Linked DNA regions of Saccharomyces cerevisiae S288C. Changing the gene in region 1 together with any one later gene gives a genetic interaction. Each region holds a gene or a part of one and is shown in the gene's direction. Other genes may lie near its edges.

Evidence for each region.
Region 2: mutations in RAD6 (region 1) and TSA1 are lethal when combined (synthetic lethality), as found in Saccharomyces cerevisiae (7 studies listed by BioGRID, with this or other methods).
Region 3: mutations in RAD6 (region 1) and SWC5 together harm fitness more than expected from each alone (negative genetic interaction), as found in Saccharomyces cerevisiae (6 studies listed by BioGRID, with this or other methods).
Region 4: mutations in RAD6 (region 1) and ARP6 are lethal when combined (synthetic lethality), as found in Saccharomyces cerevisiae (5 studies listed by BioGRID, with this or other methods).

The regions. Positions count from the first base shown.
Region 1 is NC_001139.9:391,521-395,384, forward strand, and holds RAD6 (E2 ubiquitin-conjugating protein RAD6), read left to right. Parts: upstream 1-2,465; coding exon 2,466-2,984; downstream 2,985-3,864. Other genes in the region: YBP2 (Ybp2p), read left to right, coding at 1-470; protein kinase PKP2, read left to right, coding at 703-2,178; GEP7 (Gep7p), read right to left, coding at 3,446-3,864. UniProt on the Saccharomyces cerevisiae protein: E2 ubiquitin-conjugating enzyme that accepts ubiquitin from the ubiquitin-activating enzyme E1 and transfers it to a E3 ubiquitin-protein ligase.
Region 2 is NC_001145.3:218,349-222,479, forward strand, and holds TSA1 (thioredoxin peroxidase TSA1), read left to right. Parts: upstream 1-1,789; coding exon 1,790-2,380; downstream 2,381-4,131. Other genes in the region: USA1 (Usa1p), read left to right, coding at 1-1,530; YOX1 (Yox1p), read left to right, coding at 3,058-4,131. UniProt on the Saccharomyces cerevisiae protein: Thiol-specific peroxidase that catalyzes the reduction of hydrogen peroxide and organic hydroperoxides to water and alcohols, respectively.
Region 3 is NC_001134.8:681,291-685,909, reverse strand, and holds SWC5 (Swc5p), read left to right. Parts: upstream 1-2,819; coding exon 2,820-3,731; downstream 3,732-4,619. Other genes in the region: ARC40 (Arc40p), read left to right, coding at 1-472; DAD3 (Dad3p), read right to left, coding at 649-933; telomere maintenance protein PBP2, read right to left, coding at 1,241-2,482. UniProt on the Saccharomyces cerevisiae protein: Component of the SWR1 complex which mediates the ATP-dependent exchange of histone H2A for the H2A variant HZT1 leading to transcriptional regulation of selected genes by chromatin remodeling. Involved in chromosome stability.
Region 4 is NC_001144.5:299,408-304,026, reverse strand, and holds ARP6 (Arp6p), read left to right. Parts: upstream 1-2,037; coding exon 2,038-3,354; downstream 3,355-4,619. Other genes in the region: condensin subunit SMC4, read right to left, coding at 1-1,784; RAX2 (Rax2p), read left to right, coding at 3,776-4,619. UniProt on the Saccharomyces cerevisiae protein: Component of the SWR1 complex which mediates the ATP-dependent exchange of histone H2A for the H2A variant HZT1 leading to transcriptional regulation of selected genes by chromatin remodeling. Involved in chromosome stability.

The DNA.
Region 1 (3,864 bases):
AAACTCTACTACATTGTCCATATATAACTGCAAAGATTGCTGTTCTTGACATTCTAAGAGATATGATGATTAGATCTCCTGAGGCTGCTAATCGTGACGAAACTGTCGGTTTAATCGAACAACAGAATCCTGGGAATACCGCTAATAGTGTACCGATAATGCCAACTCTACCTCCAAGACCTTACATCACTATTAATGAAGATCGCATGGCTTCCATTCATAGCATTGCTTTAATATGTTTTTCTGCCGCCAAGCAAAAGAAAAGAACGCAAGGTGATTTACTCTTGGTACTAACATATATGAAATTTTTTGTTAGTTTAAGGAACAAATGGGATTTGGGTCTGTTAACACTCATCAATAAAGAAATCTCCGAATCATTTCAAGGAGAAGGTGAGCCTGAATTAGCATTCATCAACATTTCCAATAATACTCTGGGAGAATATATAGAAGAGATGAACATACGCTCGTAAACTACATAGTAAATTAGTTGCTCTTCTCTTTTGTTCCCGAGTAAATCGAATTATTCTATTAAAGGGAAACACTATGTTTTGAGTCATCCAAACTTTCATTTTTTTCAGATTTCATCGCCCGATCGTCAAGGAATAAAAAGGGAAGGGATGGGATACTTGCATTGGAACCCAGAAAGTACGTAAAAGATGAAGATCGTGAGAGATTGGTCAATGGATAAATAGTTCTGTAATTATGTCTAAGTATCAAATTAATTGCATAAGATACCGGCACTTTCTCAGGACATCTAATATCTCGCAGATCCCTGATTTCACGAAATACTGCATTGGTCCCGTAAATGAAGAATTGGCACCTTACATCATGGAAACCATGAAGGCATACCCTTCAAATTCCGAATATATCAATCCGCAGCATTACTATCATAATAGAACGGTATTAGTAGAAAATTACTTAAAACGAAGTCCAAATCCAGTATCATTAACGCAGTTAGCGCAATATTATGACGATTCTACCAAGCTGACCAGAACCAAGATCATCAATTCCGGGAAATTTGTAAAAGAAGAACTGGTAATTAGGATCGCGCATAAATTAAATCAATTGCAACAACTTCCATTTAATGTTGTGAACAACTTCCATTTTGTTCAAGTTTATGAGTCATATTACAATATTTTTGAAAGCTTTAGAAAATATCCGACTATAAGAACTTTAGAGGACGCTTCTCAATTTGCAGATTTTATCAAAAATATGCTAGAAGGCTTCAATACTCTAAACTTACCACATTTGATAATGGGGGCTTTAGAATGTACAATTTTGGATCTTTATCCTCGTGAAAAAATGGACCAACTACTATCTGATCTGTTAAGAGCTCGAATATCAAGAAGATTGATTGTAGAGGAACACGTCAGTATCACAGCCAACTACACTAGTGGTAAGGAGGAAAATACCTTGGTATTGGGTGATATTTTTCAAGAATGTAGCGCTAAAAAATATTTATTGGAAGCCAGTGAGGAATCTCAAAAATTTATCCAAGATATGTACTTTAAAGACATTCCCATGCCAGAATTTATTATCGAAGGTGACACTCAACTAAGCTTTTACTTTTTGCCTACACATTTGAAGTATTTGTTAGGGGAGATCCTTCGAAATACTTACGAAGCAACCATGAAACACTATATTCGTAAGGGATTAGAAAAGCCGGAACCAATCATAGTAACTGTAGTAAGTAACGATGAATCCTATTTGTTTAGAATTTCAGATAAAGCTGGGGGCGTCCTCCATGATGATGAAAATCTATGGTCATTCGGTAAATCGAAAGAAAGGGCTCAAGAATCCCTAAATAATTTTCACAAGTTACCTGGTTTACAAACAGTATCTATTTATGACGAAGTACATTCCCATACTAAATATAACTCCAAACTGAAGTCATTGCAGTCAATAACATTAAAACCGTACATGCACACGTCGCTAGAACCAATGAGTTATCCTAGCATCATAAATGGGCACATCAAATATGAAACTCCCCTAATTGAATTGTTAAAGCGGTCTTTTAGATACAAGCTTGGGATTGGGTTAGCCATGTGTAAAGTGTATGCTGAATATTGGAACGGCGACCTTTCATTGCATTCAATGCCTGGATATGGTACCGATGTTGTATTAAAATTAGGCAACTTGATGAAGCATACGAAGAAACTACAATTAGATAAAGTGTGAGCTAACCATGCTTACACTATATACCAAGGAACAAATACATATTCGGAATATTAGTATGGTGACTACATTTCCCGGATTAGTGTATGTATATACAAAAAGGCACCTCCGGGTAGCCGGAGTAGAAAGCTGGAAAAATAAAAATGAAAGCGAATGGAATGTGTAAGAGAAAAAAAGGAAAGAACTATCAAGTTGCAGAGTTGATGACATAAATAGTAGAGTGGAAAATCAACGAAGATCGAATTCCAAAGATTATTTTTAGGCAGACAGAGACTAAAAGATAAAGCGTCATGTCCACACCAGCTAGAAGAAGGTTGATGAGAGATTTTAAACGTATGAAGGAAGATGCCCCACCGGGTGTATCTGCTTCACCATTACCTGATAACGTCATGGTATGGAACGCCATGATTATCGGGCCAGCCGATACTCCATATGAAGACGGAACTTTTAGGTTATTGTTGGAGTTTGATGAAGAATATCCCAATAAGCCACCGCATGTCAAATTTTTGAGTGAAATGTTTCATCCCAATGTCTATGCAAATGGTGAAATTTGTTTGGATATTTTGCAGAACAGATGGACTCCAACATATGATGTCGCATCCATATTGACATCCATTCAAAGTTTATTCAACGATCCAAATCCAGCTTCGCCAGCAAACGTTGAAGCTGCAACATTATTCAAAGATCATAAATCACAGTACGTCAAAAGAGTTAAGGAGACGGTAGAGAAATCTTGGGAGGATGATATGGACGATATGGACGATGATGATGATGATGATGACGACGACGACGACGACGAAGCAGACTGAGAAAAATCAAAAGAATCTTAATGATGAATGCCGAGCCGATATTATGAATTCGATTACCTTTTTGTTCAATCAAATATAGGGCTTCATCGTGAGTTTCTTTCTCTATCGATCCGTTTGCTTTCTATTCCTCCATCTTCTACTTTATACCGTAAAGAAAATTTAATAATGATAGAAACATTGCATATAAATAATATACTAAAAAGAAACACTGCTCTACCATAAATTTCTTTGGAGAAAATAACGTGAAATGAGAAATAAGGACAATTTGTTATCGGTTATAACTGCCGATACCCGTATCTTTTGTGTTTGATTCAAGGAATACTTATTTAGAGTAGAAAGAATATATTTACTTAGATAACTTAATGTATAATATATAAAAAAAATCAAAAAAACAGGAAAAAAAAAAATCATGAGTGAGTGGCACTTTTAACTGCAAGAATGAAGAGTGACCCCATTTTTTTTTATTCTGATATTACAGTACTCTTCTGTGCGGGCAGCTCCTTCGTTTTTTGTTTTGCACTTTCATCCAACCACACATATATGGAAACAAAAACGACGAATGAAATTATAGCTTTGCTGAATGGATCTATGCTCTTCCAAGTAAACCTTTTATCATCAAGATGAAACACCTTGACCACGTTTTGCACATCAGCAGGTAGTATATTTGCGTTTTTGTTATTTTGTAGGAGAAACCAATTATATTCGATGAATGGAAGTTTCAAGAATTGGGACCTAACTGACGGAGAAGAGTTTGTCAGGACAAATTGAGTTCGAGGTCCAAGAAAGCCAAATGACTTGTAGTACCACAACTGAATGAAATCTTGCTTTAGATCATTCCAGTTTCCTCGCATTTTCTCATTTATGGCAAAATCCAATAAAT
Region 2 (4,131 bases), on another chromosome or scaffold:
TACATTAAAGAGCCACATGAAGTGAAGGTCCATGTACAAATCAACCAAGAGTATACAGAATCTGGGCCTGGATTTTGGAATGAAGTGTTCAACAATCCGAATATTTTCCAATTCATGCCTCCAGATACAAGGTCACAGTCACCTGTTAGTTTCGCTCCGACGCAAGGACGATCTCCTGCTGCAATACGTGGCGAAGAACGGGGTATACCATACGTAACCGAATCTGGAAATGACATCGTGCCCACAGATGAGCTTTATAGGAAATGCATTATCAACGGGGATGAAGTAGTATTCATTCCTGTTAGCGAACTAAATCCACAATCGAGCTATTTGTCCGTGATCAAAGGCGATTACGGTGAAATTAAAATCCCCATATCTAGTAATGACTACAGAATTAATGGCGATAATATTTTGCTATCACCATCTGCGATAGAGCAGTTAGAATCTGCTTTGAACTTCAAAATCGAGAGACCACGGGATTCGACACTCTTGCATCCGTCTGGTGAGCATGTTCGAGCTGCAGATAATACCTCTTCGGCAAATGATAATAATACAGTTGAGAATGACGAGTCAGCGTGGAATAGAAGGGTAGTGCGTCCCTTGAGAAACAGCTTCCCGCTGCTATTGGTATTGATAAGAACATTTTACTTAATTGGCTATAATTCATTGGTTCCCTTTTTTATTATTTTGGAGTTTGGAAGCTTCCTTCCCTGGAAATATATCATTTTACTAAGCTTGCTTTTCATTTTTAGGACTGTTTGGAATACCCAAGAGGTGTGGAATTTATGGCGAGACTATCTCCACTTGAATGAAATTGACGAAGTCAAGTTTAGCCAGATCAAGGAGTTCATCAATTCCAATTCATTGACCTTAAATTTCTACAAGAAATGTAAGGACACTCAATCCGCTATTGATTTACTGATGATACCTAATCTACATGAGCAAAGGCTATCGGTCTATTCTAAGTATGATATTGAGTACGACACCAACACCCCTGACGTTGGACAATTGAATTTGCTATTTATCAAGGTGCTATCGGGTGAGATTCCTAAGGACGCGCTAGATGAGTTGTTCAAAGAGTTTTTCGAATTGTATGAAACGACAAGAAACATGAACACACTATATCCTCAAGACTCTTTGAACGAATTGCTGCTGATGATTTGGAAGGAGTCCCAAAAGAAAGACATCAATACGCTACCCAAGTACAGAAGATGGTTCCAAACCTTGTGCTCGCAAATAGCGGAGCATAACGTCCTTGATGTCGTACTCAGATACATAATTCCAGACCCGGTAAACGATAGGGTGATAACCGCTGTGATAAAGAACTTCGTGCTCTTTTGGGTTACACTACTCCCCTATGTGAAGGAGAAGCTGGATGATATTGTTGCACAGAGAGCAAGGGACCGTGAGCAACCGGCTCCATCTGCCCAACAGCAGGAAAACGAAGATGAGGCCCTCATAATCCCTGACGAGGAAGAACCCACCGCCACAGGTGCGCAACCTCATCTCTACATTCCTGATGAAGACTAATTGCAATGCGATGTGGCCACGTTATATAATGCGTTTAAGGTGTACGAAAACCCATGCTGTTCTGGCCCGTCGGGTTTTCTGACAAATTGTCCTTTAGGGATTTTTCGGTTTGGCTCGGGTTGGCAAAGTCGGCTGGCAACAAACCAGGACATATATAAAGGGAGGTAATTCGTCAGATCAATGCCGAACCGTTCTCAACGGGCCTTCCCCTCGTTCAATTGCTCACAACCAACCACAACTACATACACATACATACACAATGGTCGCTCAAGTTCAAAAGCAAGCTCCAACTTTTAAGAAAACTGCCGTCGTCGACGGTGTCTTTGACGAAGTCTCCTTGGACAAATACAAGGGTAAGTACGTTGTCCTAGCCTTTATTCCATTGGCCTTCACTTTCGTCTGTCCAACCGAAATCATTGCTTTCTCAGAAGCTGCTAAGAAATTCGAAGAACAAGGCGCTCAAGTTCTTTTCGCCTCCACTGACTCCGAATACTCCCTTTTGGCATGGACCAATATCCCAAGAAAGGAAGGTGGTTTGGGCCCAATCAACATTCCATTGTTGGCTGACACCAACCACTCTTTGTCCAGAGACTATGGTGTCTTGATCGAAGAAGAAGGTGTCGCCTTGAGAGGTTTGTTCATCATCGACCCAAAGGGTGTCATTAGACACATCACCATTAACGATTTGCCAGTCGGTAGAAACGTTGACGAAGCCTTGAGATTGGTTGAAGCCTTCCAATGGACCGACAAGAACGGTACTGTCTTGCCATGTAACTGGACTCCAGGTGCTGCTACCATCAAGCCAACCGTTGAAGACTCCAAGGAATACTTCGAAGCTGCCAACAAATAAGACGCTTGCAGAGTTGTCTAAATGACTACTTATTTAAAATTCACTCTTTACGTTTATACCTATCTATCTATATATAAAACCCATAAACTTAATGCTATTCACTGACAAAACGATACACTACCGTCTAAGAAGCTATTCACACTAGCTCAGTTCTAATAACAATCATCGTCTGGCTCTAAAACGCGTAAACCATTCACTGCCACACTCACTTTAGCTCTGTTGCTGCCCTTCATACGCTGAGACGCGACGCTTCTTTTCTTTCATATGATTTCCCTTCTAGGCGACACGCCATGCCCCAAACGGGGAACACCGCGAATTCCTTCTGGTGCCCGGTTTCCTCTTTGGGAAGGGCGTCAAAATGGTACAGCTCGCTATAGTCGCCAATTACTGCAGATGCTTAAAGGCTTCTGCAACTGTATGTCCAACCTAGTACGTGGAAACTTCAAACGCGAACAATCTGTATGCTGTTTCGGGCTACTTATTGCTCTATACGGTTTTTAGTGGACACGAACTCTTGTAATTATTATATATATATATGCCTTGGCATTTTAACAAGACTCTATGTTGTGATTTCAGTATGATTTGGGTGAAAACACAGTGGTGACCACAGAACAACGAGGTAACAGTTCCAGACCACTACCTTTCCCCTTCAATCTTTGTGATTTGATCAATTCTTGATGTCACAAGAAACAAAAATGCTACCTTCTCTATCTAGTCTTCTATCGGGAACCGAAATCTCGTCCAGCCCCGTATCACCAAGCTTCACTAATCCAAGAACGAGTTTTCACCTCGATGATCGCGGAACCATAAAATTACCACCGCTAAACACCAGTATCAATCGTCCAAGATCTGTGGAAAGCGCCTTGAGACACACTGTTACATCCTTGCATGAAAATAGCAGCGCTTATGGTGATGACATGCTCAAGCACACGCAATCAGACTCAGCCCTCTCATCTCAGTTGAATAGTTCTCAAGAAACAGTTGATGAATCACACGAAAACCTTCTACTGACTCCCCTAAATAGCAAAAAGAGAGATTATTCGGTTTCTTCAAAGAAAAACGACATATTAACACCACTCTCTGCAGCGAAGTCGATTATTATCCCCTCTGCCTCTAAGGAAAAAAGACGTGCATTTGCTTTCATCACACACTCGCAGGAGACCTTCCCTAAGAAGGAGCCTAAGATCGACAACGCTCCACTAGCACGCCGAAAGAGAAGAAGAACCTCGTCCCAGGAACTATCTATTCTTCAGGCTGAATTTGAAAAATGTCCTGCTCCATCGAAGGAGAAACGAATTGAGTTAGCTGAATCTTGCCATATGACTGAAAAAGCCGTTCAAATATGGTTCCAGAATAAAAGACAAGCGGTTAAAAGGCAGAGAATCGCCACTTCGAAGTCAACCACTATAATACAAACGGTATCTCCACCATCTCCGCCTCTGGACGTTCATGCTACGCCACTAGCATCCAGAGTCAAGGCGGACATACTTCGTGATGGAAGCTCATGTTCTCGTTCTTCCTCTTCTTCACCGCTGGAAAATACGCCGCCAAGGCCTCATCATTCCCTAAATAGGCGCTCATCCACACCAAGCATAAAGAGAAGCCAGGCTTTAACATTCCATCTAAACCCACAAAAGAAGACGTTGACTCCCGTGAAAACGTCTCCCAACAGCAGAGTAAATAAATTGATCAATAGCATAGATCATTCTCCATCCAAAGCCAAGCGTCCGGTAAGCAATCCCTCCGGCTCC
Region 3 (4,619 bases), on another chromosome or scaffold:
AATTGCTTATGTAGCGCATGATGGTACTTTGAATGTTGTCGATTACCAATCTCCAGTGCAATCTGTCAATGCTCCGGAAGGTTTACCTTACAGGTCCTTAGTATGGATAAACGACCACGAGATTGTTTGTGGAGGATACTCTTGTCATCCGGTATTGTTCAGCGAAGCCTCTGAAGGCTGGAAATTTGCGAAGAATCTAGACAAATCAGACAATAACAAGTCTTCTGCCTTAACTGCATCTGGTAATACAGACGAGCTGAGTGGTAATAATGATGAAAGTTCAACTTTCGGTATTTCCGCATTGAGAAAGTTTAAAGAATTAGACTTGAAAGGTAAAGTTAGCACAGATGTCCAAGAAAGTGCACATGAAAACGCCATTGTGGAATTAAGACCTTTTGCGGAATCCAACGGCCAAATCACACAAGTCTCTTCCTGTGGGTTAGACGGTAAGATCGTCATTTATACAATTTAAATATACATACGTATATATATATATTGTTATGTGTATTCCCTACCTCATAATACACCTTGAGTTTGTATTGTTTTTTTCTTCACTTGGCATATACAGACTATATTATTACAACTCACAGCACAATGTAGTGTACCGTAAAAAATAAAGCATCAGAATCAATTTCTTGCACCAAACCATTATTTAGAATTGCTACCCAAAGACTCCTGTTCTTGCTTTCTTTGCAAGATAAGCGAGTACACGCTACCTTTTAGCAGTGTCCCAACTAAACCAATTTTGACCTCTATGTCCCTCATCTCCTGTAGTATCTCATCTGGCGATACAGTTTCTTGCTGTGAATGCTGTTGCCTGTGTTGCGAATAGTTTAGTTCTTTTATAGTTTCATCCAGAGCTTTTAGATCTAAAGAAAGCTGTTTGTATTTGTCCAATACTTCTTGCTGTAAAGGTGAAAGATTGTGTTCCATACTGTGACTACAACGCCGTGTATGTTTCACAGCGACTTTGACTGGCTACTGTAAGCTCTTCTTTTGTATTCTTTGGAATAGTTTATTTACATGTAATTACTGTAATAGCGCGCAGCCGAGCTAAAAAAAAAAAAAATACAAAGCTTTTGATCAATTTGTTACAAAGAGAAATAATTCCGCGTACGTATTTCTATTGATATTTATATATCTACATTCATTCAATTTATTACCTTTTCTTTTATTTTTTTTGCCTTTTGTAGTTTCTGTATTTTTATTTTCTATGTGTTTTTATTGACTAGCAGTATATTTAGAGGGGCGACCTTCTTTTACGTTCAGCATTTGATCTATCAATTTCAATTTTATTGCTAATCAACATAATAGCAGCTTGGGACGCCATGAACGTACCTCTTATGGTAAGTCTTCTCTCCGAAGAGCCTTCTACAGGATCTTGTATAATAATTGAACAACCTGTGGATTCCTTGACCGAATTTATGTGCTTGCCATCTTTGCCAATGACATTTCCGACAAATTTCTCATCTATGAATATCTCTTGTTGTACAAAGTTCATTAATAAATGGTTGCCGGGTGCCGGACTGATAACAGGGCCGTCTAAGACTGTCACATTAGGGATAACGAAGTTCGGTTGAAAGGCCGTTGCGTTTGCAACGCTAGCAGTAGTATACTGCGGTGTGGCCATACTCAACAAAGTAGATGATATTGGTAAATTTTTGTTGGGTTTGTATGAAAGTAGTTTATCGCTTGGATGATATTGGTGGTTTCTTTGATGGAAAATGGTGTTCGGTTGGCTATGGTCTATTAATACTGAGTTAAACTGAGTTGGCTGATAGTATATGGACCTTTTCACATTTTTCTGCGGAGATTCCATCTGAAAGTTTAGCAATGTTTGACTAATGTAGAAAGTAGCAATATGGATAGCATCCGGAACCCCGTTAATGGTTAAAATTCTATCGTTAGAAAGCAGCAATTGATTCGGGGACGCGAATAATTTTGCTGCACTCAAATCCTCAATTTCTCTTAACCGAGACCCACGTTTGCCAATTATACATCCCATAAGATGATGAGGGATCAATAGGTTGATAGAAATCTCAATGTCTTCCCCGTTATCTTCGTTACCATGTTCTTCAAGCAGCGCTCTTACTATCATGCCGTATGCCTTGGCTACATCATCGCAAGTACCCCTCACGTAAACAATTCTTTCAGGAACACCTCTGATATTATTTGATATGTTTATTCTAGCAGAGGTTTCGGATTTTATTCTAGATATAGTGGCGCCCTTGTGTCCTACTATCAGTGAAGCGTGTTTGACTAAGCACAGCATTCGTAAATGTACATCAGAGGGAACATTGTCGGGGGAATCGTGGTCGTTGTCAGAGTGGCTGTCTGCATCCTTCAGGGCCACGCGTTTGATTTCTGCTTCCAGTTGTTCCTCGCTGGTGTCTTCACCCTTTTTCCTTTTGAGCGTGTTGGGAGAAACGAGTACAGTAGTTGGTGTAGTAGTGATTGATGGTTTTGTAGTCTCTGTGGACATAATTGAGCTAAAGAGTATTACAGAAAGATTATTTAATGCCGCGCTGGACGATTAAAATTGTTAGAGTGGATGTGGCTATGGATAAGTTTGAATATGAAAAAGGTTACTTATGCGGCTAACGACTAGGTGCGTATTTATCGTTTGACGAGTATGTACGTGTTTTCTTTTGTATCATGATATTTCGTGTAAGTACCATATCGGGGAAAGACAAAAAAAAGTGAATTAAAGAGCGAAGTTTAAAGATGATGAATAGGATTAATCGACAAGTAAGAAAAAAGACGAAAAGGCGTAAACTGGAATAATATTGTTTCAAGAAAGAAAACCCACTAGCCTATAAATGCCAGAAGTAGAGACAAAGATTATACCAAACGAAAAGGAGGACGAGGACGAGGACGGCTACATAGAAGAGGAGGACGAGGACTTCCAGCCTGAAAAAGATAAATTAGGTGGTGGTAGCGACGATAGTGATGCCAGCGATGGCGGTGACGACTATGATGACGGTGTGAACAGAGATAAGGGTAGAAATAAAGTGGACTATTCGCGTATAGAGAGCGAGAGCGGCGGACTGATCAAGACTAGAAGAGCTCGGCAAGCTGAGGAAGAATATGCGAAAACACATAAGTATGAATCGTTAACTGTTGAATCGATCCCTGCAAAAGTAAACAGCATCTGGGAGGAGCTACAGGAAGCTAGTAAGAACCGTCTTTTGAGCAGTTCAGGGAAAGTCGGCTCTGTTCTCGACGGTTCCAAGGAGGCTAGGTCGACAACGGCCGCGCAACAGGAGGACAAAATCCTCATCGAAAGAAACTACAAGTTTGCTGGTGAAACTGTCCATGAGAAAAAATGGGTTTCACGCAGCAGTGCGGAGGGTCAAGAATATCTAAACAGTTTGAAATTTAAGCAGCAGGCGCCTGCTGCTCCTGTTCAACTGGAAAAAGCAGTTAGGACCAAGTCCAATGAAAGCCGGCAACACTTGCGACGGCCACTGAAAAGGCCTCCATTGTTGGAGCAGATCATTTCTGGCGGGCTACGACCCAAGCTAACGACATTAGAAAAATCTCAGCTGGACTGGGCTAGTTATGTAGACCGTGCTGGACTTAACGACGAATTGGTGCTGCACAACAAGGATGGGTTCTTGGCCCGGCAAGAATTTCTGCAGCGGGTCGGGTCTGCAGAGGACGAGAGATACAAAGAATTGCGCCGGCAACAACTTGCTCAGCAGTTGCAGCAGGATAGCGAAGCTTCATAGACAAATATTACATGTATTAAATAACATGCTTTTCTGCTCAAATTTTTTTAACCGCCGAGGCCTGCACACTTTCACTACGTGTATAACGATGCTGCAGACAAAGTAATGGGGTGTATGGGTGTGGGTGGCAAAAAAAACCTAGCAACGCTCTATGTTTCTTTTCTTTTTTCTTTCTTTTTTTTTTTTTGCCGTTTCCGATGGGCCACTCGGTGAAAACATATAAAAAGGGCTCTACATTCATTTTTTCATCGATGAGTACTTTACTTGTTATCAGATTTATTCATTTTGTTTCTACTTGTTTTTTTTTTAAATCCCCACGAATCTCTTTGCCTTTTGGCTTAGATCAAGTGTAGTATCTGTTCTTTTCAGTGTAACAACTGAAATGACCTCAATGAGGCTCATTACCTTTTAATTTGTTACAATACACATTTTTTGGCACCCAAAATAATAAAATGGACGGGAAGAGACTTTTTAAGCAAGTTGTTTTCCGCTAATGTCAGGTCTCACTACTTTTTGCTGCTATTTTTCTTCGCTCATGGTTTCTTCATAAGGCGTTTTTATGATGGTTTTTCGAAATTGGTTTTTGAGACGACGGTTGCTCAAGGTTATTGTTTTTGTTTTCTTCTGGTTGTTTTCTATTTTCTTTTTTTTAGCTTTCTGTTTCTCCCTTAGTTTGGCTTTTTGCTTCATACTCTTCCCTGTCTTTCCGAGCCGTTTATGTCCAACGCGGGATTTGGTTTTTCTTTATCGATGGGAAGAAATGGTGCTATAGTAGGTTGGGAGATAATATTTATGGTATGGGGTGCTAGTGCGGATGGGGCGCTCTTATTGTTGATTTCTTCGCTCGTCTTCTTTTTCTGGTGGCGCTGCAAGAGGAAGTTTTTCGAC
Region 4 (4,619 bases), on another chromosome or scaffold:
GTTTCAACGTTTTTTTTCAGTTTAGCTTGAGTTTCCTCCAACAAAGATAGTTCGGATTCAGCCAATTGTATCTGTGATTCTTTTTCCTGAAGTTGGAGGTCCCAAGGCTCCAGTTCCTTTTCATGCCGAATAATCTCTGCAGATATATTCTTCGTTTTATCTTTCAAAGATAGTTTAATATCATCAAGTATACTTCGTTCCTTTTCCAGCAATTGAGTCAAGTCTTTGATCTCCGTCTCGTGTTCGGTTTGTTGTCCACGAAGCTCTTCAAGCATATTCTCGGCCTCCGATATTGAATGTTTGGTGGATTTCAAAGTCTTTTCTGCTTTTTCCATTTTACTTACCAAATTTTTTGTTCTCTCTTCTAGAGACACCCTGGTGCCTTCTAATTCTCTTCTTTCTAAAACCAGGGTCTTTTCTTTCGAGCTACAAGATGATATTCGATCTTTTATTTCCTTACGTTGTGCTTTAATCTCATCCACTTTTTTCAAAGATTCTTGAAATTTCATCTTCTCATCTTCGAGGTCTTTATTCGAAGAGGAGATCTTTTCCAAGGTGCTGGCAAGTTTAGAGTTGCTTTGCAACAATTTAAATTGAAATAATTTTGATCTTAAAAGCGTCAGCTGCTTTTCCTTCTCTAAAAACTCTAACGCCGTTTCTTTCCCTGACTCTAAAGAGTTTTTTTCTCTATCAACAATTTCAAATCTATTTTCCTTTTCCAGGCAAACTTCATTTAGATTCTCAATCTGTCCCATTCGCTCTTCAATTAACGGCTTATAGTTTGCAGTTCCAATTATGTCCTCCAGATATTCCAGTAGTCCGTCGTCACTCTCTTTTTCTGCTTTAGGCTTCATTTGAGCAATATTCTCTACTTCACCTTGTAGAATTAAAAATCGTTTATGGTCTAAATCAATACCCTCATTCTTTAAAAGCTTTGTCACCTCTGTGTAGCTACTTTCTTTTTCGTTTATGTAATATTTCGATGAGTTGTTTTTAAAGGCTTTCCTTGTAATGATCAATCCAGGTTTTTCTTCATCGATTCGGGAAGTACCCGAAGATTCATCAATAACGTACTGAAAATGTACAGCTACGGAACATGATTGCAAACTTGGGAAAGCTTCTGATTTATGAATTAAATCCGACAATCTGTCCTGTCTCATCTTGTTCGCTCTAAATCCAAATACAAATAACATGGAATCGATGACATTTGATTTACCTGAACCATTGGGGCCTACCACGGCCGAGAAGCTAGTATGAAAGGGTCCTACTACTTGTTTACCAGCGTAGGACTTGAAGTTCTCTAAGACTAGTTCGTTAATAAATAGTCTGCTCTGTTGCTTGCTCGACGACTGGTGCCTATCATAAATTTTTTGTAGTTCAACCCTGCTATTTTTCACTGGCGAAAGCTGGAGCAATTCTAATCTTCTAGTTGGCGATCTTCCTGGAGACCTTGGTGGTGATTGAGAGTAGGACTTATGGTCGCGACCCCTAGAAGAGGTTTTTGGTGGTTGCAAGTTCGGTACATGTAATGACGTGGTTGTTGAGTTTGTAGGTTGAGAAAAGGCATACCGATTTTCCCCAGAACTTAAAACAAGCTTTCTGGGAGTATAAGATTTGGAATAAGATGCTTCCAACGCAGGAAGATCCGGCTCTGGTGTATTCTCGCTTAGGTTAACTCGGTTTTCTACCTGCGAATCTTCTTCGGCATCACCTTGATCAAGAGATAATTCTGGTTCTTGGGCGGACTTCCGCTTTTGTCTTTTGCTCAATGGACTATCAGACATCAAATATATTCTGTTGGTTGCACGTGGTTAGTGTTTAAGGTGATGCGGCTTCTTATAGGGCCTCTTTTATGGTATGAAATCGATTCCAGTGTGTAGATAATGTAAACCTATATGTATTTTCGTGATTATTGTAAACAGTTTACTTTCCGTCCATAATTACAAATGCATTTCAAAATGGGCCAAGAAGAACAAGAGAATTAATGCAAGACCAAAGGAGAAGAAGCGCAGAATCGTGGACAAGATAATTTAAACTATGGAAACACCACCCATTGTGATTGATAATGGCTCATACGAAATCAAGTTTGGTCCTTCCACGAATAAGAAACCGTTCCGAGCTTTAAATGCATTGGCCAAAGATAAATTTGGGACATCGTATTTATCAAATCATATCAAAAACATCAAAGATATTTCATCTATCACCTTCAGGAGGCCACATGAACTAGGACAGCTCACATTATGGGAATTAGAGAGTTGTATATGGGATTATTGCCTTTTCAATCCTTCAGAGTTTGATGGGTTTGATCTGAAAGAGGGAAAGGGTCATCATTTGGTTGCTAGCGAGAGCTGTATGACTTTACCAGAATTAAGTAAGCATGCCGACCAGGTGATATTTGAAGAATATGAATTCGACAGTCTTTTCAAGTCTCCTGTAGCAGTCTTTGTACCATTTACCAAGTCATATAAGGGTGAAATGAGAACAATTTCAGGTAAGGACGAAGATATCGATATTGTCCGTGGCAACTCAGACAGTACAAATTCCACATCAAGCGAGTCCAAGAATGCGCAGGATTCAGGTAGCGATTATCATGATTTCCAATTAGTTATTGATTCCGGGTTTAATTGTACTTGGATAATTCCTGTCCTGAAGGGAATACCGTACTATAAAGCGGTAAAAAAATTGGACATTGGAGGCCGTTTCCTAACTGGGCTACTAAAGGAAACTCTATCATTCAGACACTACAATATGATGGATGAAACCATACTTGTTAACAATATCAAGGAACAATGCTTGTTCGTTAGCCCGGTGTCTTATTTTGATAGTTTCAAAACGAAGGATAAGCATGCACTAGAATATGTACTTCCTGACTTCCAAACAAGCTTTCTTGGTTACGTAAGAAACCCCAGAAAAGAAAATGTACCGTTACCTGAAGATGCGCAGATCATAACACTGACAGATGAGCTTTTCACAATACCAGAAACTTTTTTCCATCCAGAAATTTCGCAAATTACTAAACCAGGCATTGTGGAGGCCATCCTAGAGAGCCTTTCCATGTTGCCCGAAATAGTGCGACCTCTTATGGTAGGAAACATTGTATGTACAGGAGGAAACTTTAATCTGCCCAATTTCGCCCAACGGCTTGCGGCAGAACTACAAAGGCAATTACCCACAGATTGGACTTGTCATGTTTCGGTGCCCGAAGGTGACTGTGCTCTGTTTGGGTGGGAAGTGATGTCACAGTTTGCAAAGACAGATTCCTACCGAAAAGCGAGGGTCACAAGAGAAGAATACTATGAGCATGGTCCCGATTGGTGTACGAAGCACAGGTTTGGTTACCAGAATTGGATATAATTAACTATAGATTTACATAGCAACAATGAAAATCCGAAAAGTCGAGACCTTCAGGTCATTTTCAATTTGGATTTTGTCATGTTTTTAAGAATCTTCCGCAGGCAATAATACATCTCATATGTTTTACATTTTTATTGACAAATTCCCAAATTAGGCAAAAATTCCTCTTTTTTAGTGGTTAGAAACGCCATTCTTCCCATTTTTTCGCGATACAAAAAAAGAAATATATGGAAATGTGGAAATGTCATCATCAGAAGTCTCGAAGGAAAGTGTGCGCTTTAATCATCCCCATACTAGACTTTGTAGGAGAAGATAATACAATTTTCGTTTTATATTTATACAGTTGATTGACCGGGAAACGAAGAAACGCAAGAGAAAACGATCAAAATACACCTGTTCTTCGTTACGATATAGAAATTAAATGTTTGTTCATCGTCTCTGGACACTCGCATTTCCTTTTCTTGTGGAGATATCGAAGGCATCACAGTTGGAGAATATTAAATCTCTTCTGGACATCGAAGATAATGTGCTACCGAATTTGAATATATCGCAAAATAATAGCAACGCAGTACAAATCCTCGGGGGTGTGGACGCCTTATCTTTTTACGAGTACACAGGCCAACAAAATTTCACTAAAGAAATAGGTCCAGAAACAAGCTCACATGGATTAGTTTATTACTCTAACAACACCTATATCCAGTTGGAAGATGCCTCTGATGATACTCGAATAGACAAAATTACACCATTTGGCGTTGATTCGTTTATTCTTAGCGGATCAGGCACGATAAACAATATCTCTGTCGGAAACCAGATATTATACAATTTGTCGACACTGTCTATGACGCCTATATTCAACCAGTCTTTGGGAGCTGTTCAGGCTGTGCTCGCAGACAATTCTTCTATCTATTTTGGAGGAAACTTTTCATATAATAATGGCTCCATGACGGGCTATAGTGCTCTCATTTGGGACTCCATATCAAATACCACCCAACTTTTACCTTTTGGAGGGTTTGGTGAAAACTCCAGTGTGAATTCCATAGTCAAGCTAAATAATGACAACATTTTATTTGCAGGCCAGTTTTATACACTGGATGATCCTTCTGCGCTTATCAGTAGTTCAAATAACGGTACGAACTCAACTTCCTCTTTAAACGCTACTACATTGGAGCTAGGCCAACGAATTCCACTGAGGTACGCTTCCTGGGATTCCCAGGGAAGTACAACGTTTGCATCTGATTCGTTAGTTTGTCCTAACACTAATGAGG